3 linked regions of the Kluyveromyces lactis genome follow. Each later gene encodes a partner of the first gene's protein in a complex. Links are inferred from orthologs where the notes say so. Each region holds a gene or a part of one and is shown on either strand. Other genes may lie near its edges.

Region 1 (3,236 bases):
TGGATGTGGATTCTGCACCCGCATCTGCAGACAGTACTGAAGAAAGTAGATTATTATCGAAAGGCGTTAAGTCCATTGACTACACCAATGGAAGACTGTTGAGCATCAGTTCATTTGTTATATGGTTGACAATTGGTTCATTGAATTGTTATCTTGTATTTTCATACCTCATGGGAGCGGACGTGCATTTTTAAGTCTAAGTAGGCATTTTATATAGTTTTGATGGATTCTGTTTAATCTATAATCAATTCGTAAATTGTACTTATTGGATCTGCTTTGTTGATCTCTTCTCTTGTACCTTTGTTGTGGTTAATTTCTTTGTTCTTTATATAATCTTTAATTGTTCTTGGACATTTACCTTCGAAAGTAATTGAGGAAGTAAAAAAATCGAAACACTGATGGTTTCAGAAAATAACTCCAAATAATAGTAACCGTTAGCTATCACTGATAATAAACTAGCCCCACAGATTATTGCACACTACCACAGCTGCGATTTATAGATTCTATACGGAAATATCTACTTCACTGCATAACTTTCTTACTTTTCTTTTTTCTAGTCGATATGGTCTTGACGACAGGAACTGATCCGGCATAATTAGTCTGAAGGACTGGGAAATGTTTCTCGTGCAATTTTGGAGATGTCACAATCTGTTTAGAAAGTAGAGCTTCTTTCAAGATGTTCTGTGCTCTATGATAAAGGGAAACTTCCTCACTTGTTGGTTTTGATATCTTGTTCAGCTTGACCCTTCTCGATTTACATGCCTTTAGCTTTAGCAATATCTCTGTCAATAACCTTTGCTGTTCACCTTGCTCAAAAGCCGTTATATCTTCATCATGTATCTCATGGCTAGGTTGCCAGTCATAAAGATTTTTCAAATTAATATTGACAGGTCCAGCTGGCTCCGTTGTCACTATTACTTCATCTCCCTCCTCATTTGTATCTTGCTCTTCATCCGTGGCAACATTCTGCTCTTCATCATTTTCATTTGATTCCTTTTTTTGGTTGTCAGATCCGATACTGTCATTTGCTTCCTCAACCTTTTGATCTTCAATACCCTCATCCTTTATTTTTTCATCTTCAACATTTTTATCTTCTGCTTCCGCAGCCCCTCTCTTCTTCGATTCTATTTCTAACCAGCTTTTGTATCCGACCTTTTCCAACCATATGTCTCCTTTACGGGAACAATCTGTTACAGACTTGAACTCCGAGATACTCGGAGCAAAAGATTGATAGTCGCCATACTCCAACCATTTAGTAGTGGGTAGCGGGTACCAATTCGGATGCAGAAAGGAGGTCATGATTTCTGTAGGAGAAATTGTTGGATCAGGAACATTGGAAGTGTTAGCTGCTACGAATCCCAATCTATTGGCTGGTTGGGATGTTGCTTGAGGAATAATTTTCACAATTTCACATTCCTCGTATGGTACTTCCTTTGGCCTCTGATCAAGTACTGACCTCGTTATCACCGAACTGAACAAATGTCCCTCCTTTGTCTGCGTATGGTAAGTTTCAGTAACGGGGAGCTGATAAACTTGACTAATTTTAAGGAAATCATTGGAAATGGTTTTTGAAAAATCACTTTCTTTGAAGTCAATGTCTGCCGCGAAGTCTCCCACCAGTTTGGCTCCAACTCTATAACATTCCCTTAGAATCAATTCTGCTGCAAATTTGTAGAATTTGTCGACCATTTGGTACGACCTCGTTCCTTGAGAGTAGTAGTGAATTAAAATGGAGCATACTAATTTAATATCATGGTAAATCCGATAAACAGAATCTTCATGCTTCTGGTAATCTCCACTAGCAAATTTATCAGATATGGAAATTGAATCAATATCTTCTGCTATTTTGATATCTGGATTTTCATCAAACTTGGCCCTTAGAAACTTCACGTAAGAATCGTATATGTGTGTTGGATCAGGCTCGTAGAATTCTTTAGGAAACCTTTCATCTAAAGCTCTGCATTTCGAAGATGCACTAATTAAATCAAAATAAAATTAATACTGTTAGTATTTGATTGTAAAATAAAATCATGCTTTGGCAAATCTAACACTGAAAACATAAAATAAAGACTTGAGGAACCCCAGGTCATCGTATGCTGGTCTTTAATTTATTATTATCACCGATTCTAGACAAAAACATGTGCGAATGCAACATAATTCGAATGAAAAATGTGTTGTTTTTATATTCACATACCCTTTTAAAACAGTTAGTAAGTTCTGAAAAAAATTCTCTTTTAGCAGCTCTACCATTGTTTACTTATTTTTAGCCCACTATAAAAGAGTTTGCAGACCTTGTACTCTCTCACTGCCCATCAGTTTGTCATTCAGCAGTAATGTAAGAAGCCTTTATTGATCAACCTGCGCCAAAACCTGTGTTTTCATTATGAAAAACATCAAAACCGTACATCATGATCCAACTGGCATCCATTGACAGCTTTTACAGAGATTCCTGTCACAGCAACAGTACCCAGTCATAGCCTAACAAGCTAGGTATTGGCCTTTAATTATTCCAATGCAATTGGTATTATATGAGTTAATTAATTCTATAAATTGTACTGGTGTAGTTCTAGGGTCTTTTCGAAGCTTGATAGTTTTTAAATGCTTTTGGAGTAAGGAATTTCTTGACCGTCCATACACCTTTCTCTTTCTCTTGATGAACAGGGATAGGATTGAGTTCCCAACCAATCTTGATGTCGCTATCATTGCAAGATCCAAATCTAGGAACAACATAGCAGAATCTTTCTGTTGGCGATAAATCAATAGGTTTCAAACCTTGTCCAGTGATTGGTTTTCCGTAAGTGAGTAACGAGCCCTTTCTTGCAACGTTAGCCAATGGCGTGCTTTTAATGTCACAAAGAGACTTCATCCTTGTTTTCGCCTTTTCATTATTTTTATTGACATGTAGTGATTGGAAAACCAAGTATTTCGGAGGTTGCTCGCCAGAATTGTTGAGAATTGAGGTTGGATGAATATAAACAAAGATATCATCCAAAGAAGATGTTTTCTCAGCAAGGACTGGAACATAAGGGATATTGAAAATGTTGGTTTTGTTGATAGTAACGTCTTCCGGGAATAACTGGTCTGCGCGAACGGCCACCTGGTCGATAAATCCTGCTGTGATCATTTGCTTGAGTAATTTGATTTGAACATCGGTGGGGATCGAGCTCTTCAAGTCTTCGTCTTTAACATTTACAGCTACATTTTCTCTCGAAGTAACTGACCTGATGATGAACATC
Region 2 (3,050 bases), about 320 kb from region 1:
CGTCTTCATCCGTAGGCTCCTTTTCAAACCGATTCTGCATCAAGTTGAGCTTACCGGAATGGAACGTACGGCATACGTCGTTTCGTAACAATATCAGCGAACGCCCCTTTGGAACTTTGTACAACGCCCTACTGGCCACAGACTTTACGCCAAGCCTAGATACCGGCCTTATTAAATGGAACATTGCAAGTCACTTCAATGTAATAAAACCACCACGTCGCTGCTACGGTTAGCCGAGTCTGATTGCTATACCGTTTACCTAACAGGACTTTTCGAATTTAAAACCAGTGGAAAATCTTTGTTAACACCGAAACAAACCGAGACAAAAACAGCCGTTTCAACAAACACCTGGCTATTTTACACTACTATAGGGTCTTAAATTCACAATGCAACCACTGTAGATTGCAAATGTAACTGCTAACGCTCCTTTTATCGGTGGCAAATGGCCTTGTCTGTTCACCTTATGGGGTTGTTCTGGTTGAAAAGCCCAAATTCATTTTTGGTAGAGCAAGGACATATCGTTACCCGGCCACTTAGTATAATACACTCTTATTACGTATGTTGAGATATACACGTATACATGGGAGGTCAGTTCAGCTATGTTATAGGCTTGTTTCGAATCTCTTTTGTTCTTCTATAGCAGCGACTATATCTTCGTCCAAGATGTCTTCGTACATCGATGTAGGGACGTCAGAAAGACCGGTGCAAGGTCTTGCTAGGTCAAGAGCTTTGATTCTTGTTTCGTACATAACTTGGCTTGTGTTTCCTTTCACTTTCTTCACTGATATCACTCTCGTCGATTGTGTGGATTGTGGTATATGTAAGACGTTCGTGTACGTATCTCTTAGTCCGAGGTTTTCGATGAGAAGAATGCGTTCTCTATCGTAGAAAAGATCACTGTTGAATCTACTGCATGCAGCAGCATGATGATAGAGCCAGTTCGTAGATGAGATATTGCTTGTTGCCGGGATGTTGTGATTTCTCTTGTCAAAGAATTCTACTGCATTTTTGGATGGGTTGACGGATAATTGTTGCGGAATGTCTATTCCAAGGGTATTTCTTCCAGTGACACTTGTGTGTGATGTTTCTCTTGCTGGGGTACCCTCTTTCACCTTCCCGGATGCACGAAGCTTACCGGCGTAATAATCATCCGTGATGTTTTTACCATCTACAACAACCTTGGCTCCGAATTCTCGGAACACACTCCTTGCAGTAACTAGCGCAATGATTCTGTTTCTGTACGAATAGGGCAATACACCATTTTTGATGAGATCGTCTCTCTCTGATTGCGAGATAATCAATTTGTATAGGTTTGGATGGTACTGGAAGAACAAGTATGAGTCTCTGAACCCAACGGCACGGGCTGGCTCAGTAGAAAGCATGTATTTAACTTCACCTCTGGAAGGTACCGTGAAAGTTCTGACTACAAATTGTCTTCCCTCTAGAAGATCACCATTCTTGGTGATCTTGGTTTCACCCTCTGGATCCTCAGGTAATGAATACTCGTCATTCACAATTGGGTATGGAGACCCGTTTTCGTCCACTGGGTACGGTAGTTTCTGTCTTAAGGGATCGTTCAAATCTTCTTCTCTTTTCCTCTTTGAAGGCCTTCCTCTTGTCGCTAGTACCACTGGAACAGGTGTGCTCGAAGCGGCCTTGCGCTTGGAACGAGATGGTTTACCCTCGTTTTCGATATCAGCATCTGGGTCATCATCGTAATCATCATCATTGGCTGGTCCAGGGTACTCTTGATCCTTTTCATCATCTTCAATGTCTAACTCGTCTGTATCGATTTTATAGCTGGTTGCTTTGTTAGCTGAGCGAGAAACCCTCGAGCTCTTCCTGCCTCTTCCTGCTGCTGCCATATCTGATATAGGAGAAACTCAAGCTTCTTGATTGGTGATTCCAAATACAGAATTACTAAGGAATGTTATGCGTATATCCGCTTTCAACCGAGCTTTGTTGATCTTGTTTGTTTATATATAAGCTTTGAGAGGCAGGAATCTGTTCAATGTTCAAGAGAAACATCAAAACGTATGAGATGATAAAGAAGAAAGAACAACTTCAACGGCTTTACTAGAAGCTCTAGATATTTCTGGGGGGGGGGGCCTTGATGCAACATCTGATCCTCCTATTGTTATTCATTGTCTTATATTTCGTACGTTAACTAACTGTTAAATACTTTTATGTGTTACTGGTAAAAAATGTGTCTCATTCAAAACTCGACGGTCCACCTCTTGATACAGGCGTCCACACCGGCGCTGACGATAGTGGAATCGTTTTCCCATAGTACACTGGACACACCGTCCTTTTGTGCGTTTAATCTTTTTATCACTTTCATAGGTTTGTTAACAGAGTAGATGAAGATGTTGGTGTCCAGAGAGCCAGTGACAACATAATCTTCCTCCAAATCATCATCATTTGCAGAAGGTCTCCAGTCAATGGATGTAATTCTGCTTGTGTGGAATGACCATCTCGAGGTCTTGACGTCCTTCGTGTCAAGATCATATAGGATAATCTTACCGGACACGTCACCGGCAGCCAAGTACTTTTGTGATGGAGAGAAGGAAAGAGCAGATGGAGTGGCACGTAATGGAGTGGCCAACGTGAATGCATCTGATAGGTCAGAAATTTTGAATAGCTGCACGGAGTTGGTTTGTTCGTATGCCACTGCCACGAAAGTAGTTCCCAATGCGAGGGCCCCGACAGGTTTATCTAGAGTTATCGATTTCGATAATAGCCCACTCTTGTTATCGATGATCAACAATTCGTTAGTGTTTGTAGCAACAGCCAAAGTGTTATGAGAGAAAACCGCACATTTAGGTTGCTCTGAGAATTGGTACTTCGTTTCAGCAAGCGCTTTTTCACCATCGATGAAATTCTTCAACGTTTCGTCCCAAGAAACACTCGATACCTCGTTATCAGAGTTATCGATGGCCAATACGAGATTACCATGAATATCATGGCTAATAGCATTGACTTCGTCACCTTCTGAATTCCAGGTAACAACTCTACCATCGTATGACCCAGACACTAATGGGTTTACCGCC
Region 3 (3,759 bases), about 1.2 Mb from region 1:
TTTGAGTAGTTCTACTTCCTTCAAATAATGAATATACTTAATTAATATATATGAACCGACAATGAACACTTGAGTCTACTGAGTATTTGATCATATGCTGAGAGAAAAAAACACACCTTTGTATGAGCCGCAATGAAAACTCCGTACCTGTACGTCTTTGTAAATATGAGCTCAATAATCTTCATCTTCGTCTTCTGATTCCTCCTCATCGCTCGCACCAACTGGAGCCAATCCAGGTGTGAGAGCTTTATATCTGTGGTCTTGTATCGATTGTGGTAGCTTCTCCTTGAACTGTTTCTTCTTTTGTCTCCTAGATTTTACCTTCCTTACCTTCTTTGAATCTTCTGAGTTGGCAAGTATTTGTTTCTGTAAATCTAACAGTTCTTCCTTATCGTCATAATCCCAACTTTTCAGGTTGCGAACATTTTTCTTCACCACTTTATCCAAATAGGATTTCTCATGATCCGTAAGAGAATTATCTACTTGATGCTTTCTTAGTACTTGTAGCTTAGCCTTCTGTTCTATATCCTCTTGGACTTCTTTTCTTCCAGATATCTTCTTTCTCAACATTTTCTTCTCCCTCTTTTTGATCCGGTATACATCCTTTTCTTGTACCTCTACTCTTTTCTTCAAGTTCCTATCTATTAGTTGTGCTTTCGAGCCTTTGTCTCGGCTTGTTTTCTTTCTTTCTGCATTAACCGACGCAGAACCCGGCAGTACGCTTTGCAACAATGCGTTCACAGCGTTGGTAGCATGAGCAGCTGCAAGAGATGACATTATAATCAGAGAATTTTAGTTCTTCAAACCTTGATTGTCAATACAGAAGACACTTTTGTAACAGTTCGAAGCACTGTAACTATCTCAATCGGGGAACTTGATAGTTCACTCTCATCACATCTCATCTAATCTCATCTCATCTCATCCATGGCGTATTATCCAAATTTTCATTTTAGGTCATGAAATATTAAACAAGAAAAGAAACAATGGTGCCCACTTTAATGCGAATATTTTGGCACGTGATCGAAGTTGGTTTATTACCCGGTTCTTGTTGTTGTTACCCGTACTTTGGCCCATGGCAATAGTGAATGTCAAAGAAAAAAGTAAACACGATAAATAAAATTGTGAAAAAGAGGATGAATTTGAAAACAGTTTGATTTTATTCTGAATTTAGTTTTGACACGAGAAAAGGACGAACAGAGGTTTGTTTTCAACACGGCAACGGCGGCTAAAAAAATAGACGCACCGAAAGCGAAACAGTAAAGAATTCTAGGGCAATAGTACCTGTTTGTATCGCGTTAGCTTTGTGACAACTCTGAATTTTTTTAGCAGGACTTCAGTTATTGTTTTACCCCCTTTCAGAATAAAAAAGGTTTAAAGCTCACTAGCGGGAAGAGACCTGGATCACGTTAAGAAGTGTGAAATAAAACAACAATGGATCAAGTCGTCGTAACGAATAACGCGGATACAGCGCCTCCTTATCCGCTTCCTATAGTGAATTCTGAGAATGTTGATAATGGGAATTCCGAAACTGAAAACCAGGACGTTAACGGCAATATCGAAGACAACCATGTTGGTGCTGACAAAGGAAGCAACAACAATTTTCGGAACGACAGTGGTAGTGCTATTGGACAGAACCAGATTGCCGCTGTTCTAGAAGAAATGAAGAAGGTGGAAAGAGTAATCTTGCCACTACCTGAAACGAAAGAACAATTAGAAAATTTGATTTATCGTTACAGATACATTTCTCAATATAGAGATCATAATAAGCTTGAAGTTGAGGCTATTGAACAAATTTTCACCCAAATCTCGGATAAACAGGAAGAGTACAAGGAAAGGCTGCTGAGGTTAAGAGAAAACGCAGCCAAAGATATTCAGTGGGACGAAAAGTTGTTGAAGGAGCAAATGGTAAGCTTACAGCTTTTGAGTAAAGATATAAATATACCGGATGGCCTCTTAGAGGATGATGATGATGAATCAGTAAGTTCCGACAGTTCTGATATCTCGGTACAACTGGAGAAGGTTAAACTTTCTGTTGATTTCGACGAAACAAGTGTGCGCTTAGGCCTTCCCGAAGCTTTAAGCAACTTTCGTCTTAAATCTGGAAATGAAGCCTCGCTTGGAGATTGGGAGGTTGAAAAAATAATCTCCACACTCATTGCGAAAAGAATTAAACAACTTGAAAATCTACCCTCTAATTTGGGAACATATTCTTTAAATGATGCGCTTGATTTTGTAACTAAAGATGATATTCCTACCGGCGCAGACGACTTCAAGTTAAGAGCTTTGGTGGAGCTCAAGTCCTTGAAAATGCTAACGAAACAGAAATCTTTGAGAAAGAGGCTGATTGAAAGTGTTGCAGCTAAATCGCATAATATCATTCCATCTCTCCGTGACTCTCCTTATACTTTAGCAGCTCAAAGATCCATTCATGTTAGACCGAAGACCATCGTTCCACAAACTGCTAGATTAGCAGAAGAACTTGAAAGGCAGGAATTGGTAGAAAGCAGGAGAAGAGAAAGAAACTTACGGTTACAAAGGATCAATAATATTGTATCAAGTATCAACGAAAGATTGGAGAATGATACAACACAACGTGATCGCTGTTATCAAATGGGTAGATCTATCGGAAACTTGCATGGTCATTTGGAGAAAGATGAGCAGAGAAGAATGGAAAGAACTGCCAAGCAACGTTTAGCAGCCTTGAAGTCCAATGATGAAGAAGCATATTTGAAATTGTTAGACCAAACCAAAGATACAAGAATTACACATCTATTGAAACAAACTAATTCTTTCTTGGATTCTCTTGCTCAAGCGGTTAGAGTGCAGCAAAATGAGGTACGCATCAAAAGGGGTGAAGAAATTCCTCCAATCACGGATGAAGAAAGAGAAAAAATTGATTATTACGAGGTTTCCCACAGAATTAAGGAAACAGTAGACAAACAGCCAAGCATATTGGTTGGAGGCACGTTGAAAGAGTATCAACTAAAGGGTTTAGAGTGGATGGTGTCTCTATACAATAATCATCTTAACGGTATTCTCGCAGATGAAATGGGTCTAGGTAAAACAATTCAATCCATCTCGTTGATCAGTTATCTTTATGAAATAAAGAACGAGAGGCAACCATTTTTGGTGATTGTCCCTTTATCCACCATCACGAACTGGACTATAGAATTCGAAAAATGGGCACCTTCTCTAAGAACCATTGTGTACAAAGGGAACCCAAACCAACGTAAGGCTTTGCAACATACAATCAAAATGGGAAATTTCGACGTGGTTCTAACTACTTATGAGTACATTATAAAGGATCGTCCACTGTTGGCCAAACACGATTGGGCTCATATGATTATCGATGAAGGTCATAGAATGAAAAACGCTCAATCAAAACTATCTTACACGTTGACACATTACTACAAAACAAAAAATAGGCTAATTTTAACGGGTACTCCATTGCAAAATAATCTACCAGAATTGTGGGCTCTATTAAATTTTGTTTTACCTAAGATCTTTAATTCCTCAAAAACATTTGACGAATGGTTTAATACACCATTCGCGAACACAGGTACTCAAGAAAAGCTAGAAATGACAGAAGAAGAAACGCTTCTAGTTATTAGAAGATTGCACAAAGTTTTACGTCCATTTTTGTTACGTCGTTTGAAGAAGGAAGTCGAAAAAGATTTACCTGACAAAGTTGAGAAGGTTGTGAAATGTAAGCTATCAAGTCTCCAGCAGCAACTATACGAACAAATGTTAAAACATAAT

Evidence for each region.
Region 2: RSC58 (region 1) and NPL6 share a complex: the UniProt entries of both Saccharomyces cerevisiae proteins name them as parts of the two forms of the RSC complex. The link is inferred for Kluyveromyces lactis from reciprocal best matches to the Saccharomyces cerevisiae genes RSC58 and NPL6.
Region 3: the proteins of RSC58 (region 1) and STH1 are in contact, whole or in part, in a cryo-EM structure (PDB 6V8O), measured with the Saccharomyces cerevisiae proteins. The link is inferred for Kluyveromyces lactis from reciprocal best matches to the Saccharomyces cerevisiae genes RSC58 and STH1. Residues at the interface, in NP_013133.1 of Saccharomyces cerevisiae: Ala23, Ala24, Lys122, Lys125, Phe126, Glu129, Asn239, Ala241, Pro242, Arg243, Leu244, Gly245, Val247, Gly248, Ala249, Asn250, Ile254, Pro255, Asp256, Pro257, Thr258, Thr262, Glu263, Met264, Met265, Phe268, His270, Pro271, Asn272, Trp273; in NP_012140.1 of Saccharomyces cerevisiae: Lys48, Pro49, Arg50, Ser51, Ser52, Leu55, Leu59, Glu80, Phe83, Arg84, Ile86, Ser87, Asp89, Gln90, Asp91, Tyr93, Glu94, Lys96, Leu97, Leu100, Arg101, Ser103, Ile104, Asp105, Lys106, Phe108, Gln109, Tyr110, Asp111, Glu112.

What each region holds. Positions count from the first base shown.
Region 1 is NC_006042.1:1,593,515-1,596,750, forward strand, and holds RSC58 (Rsc58p), read right to left. Parts: upstream 2,251-3,236; coding exon 2,195-2,250; intron 1,976-2,194; coding exon 523-1,975; downstream 1-522. Other genes in the region: putative divalent metal ion transporter SMF3, read left to right, coding at 1-194; ATP-dependent RNA helicase ECM16, read right to left, coding at 2,567-3,236. UniProt on the Saccharomyces cerevisiae protein: Component of the chromatin structure-remodeling complex (RSC), which is involved in transcription regulation and nucleosome positioning. RSC is responsible for the transfer of a histone octamer from a nucleosome core particle to naked DNA.
Region 2 is NC_006042.1:1,271,895-1,274,944, forward strand, and holds NPL6 (Npl6p), read right to left. Parts: upstream 1,866-3,050; coding exon 603-1,865; downstream 1-602. Other genes in the region: m-AAA protease subunit YTA12, read right to left, coding at 1-184; AIP1 (Aip1p), read right to left, coding at 2,216-3,050. UniProt on the Saccharomyces cerevisiae protein: Component of the chromatin structure remodeling complex (RSC), which is involved in transcription regulation and nucleosome positioning. RSC is responsible for the transfer of a histone octamer from a nucleosome core particle to naked DNA.
Region 3 is NC_006042.1:437,356-441,114, reverse strand, and holds the start of STH1 (RSC chromatin remodeling complex ATPase subunit STH1), read left to right. Parts: upstream 1-1,431; coding exon 1,432-3,759. Other genes in the region: MET18 (Met18p), read left to right, coding at 1-9; RRT14 (Rrt14p), read right to left, coding at 172-777. UniProt on the Saccharomyces cerevisiae protein: Catalytic component of the chromatin structure-remodeling complex (RSC), which is involved in transcription regulation and nucleosome positioning. RSC is responsible for the transfer of a histone octamer from a nucleosome core particle to naked DNA.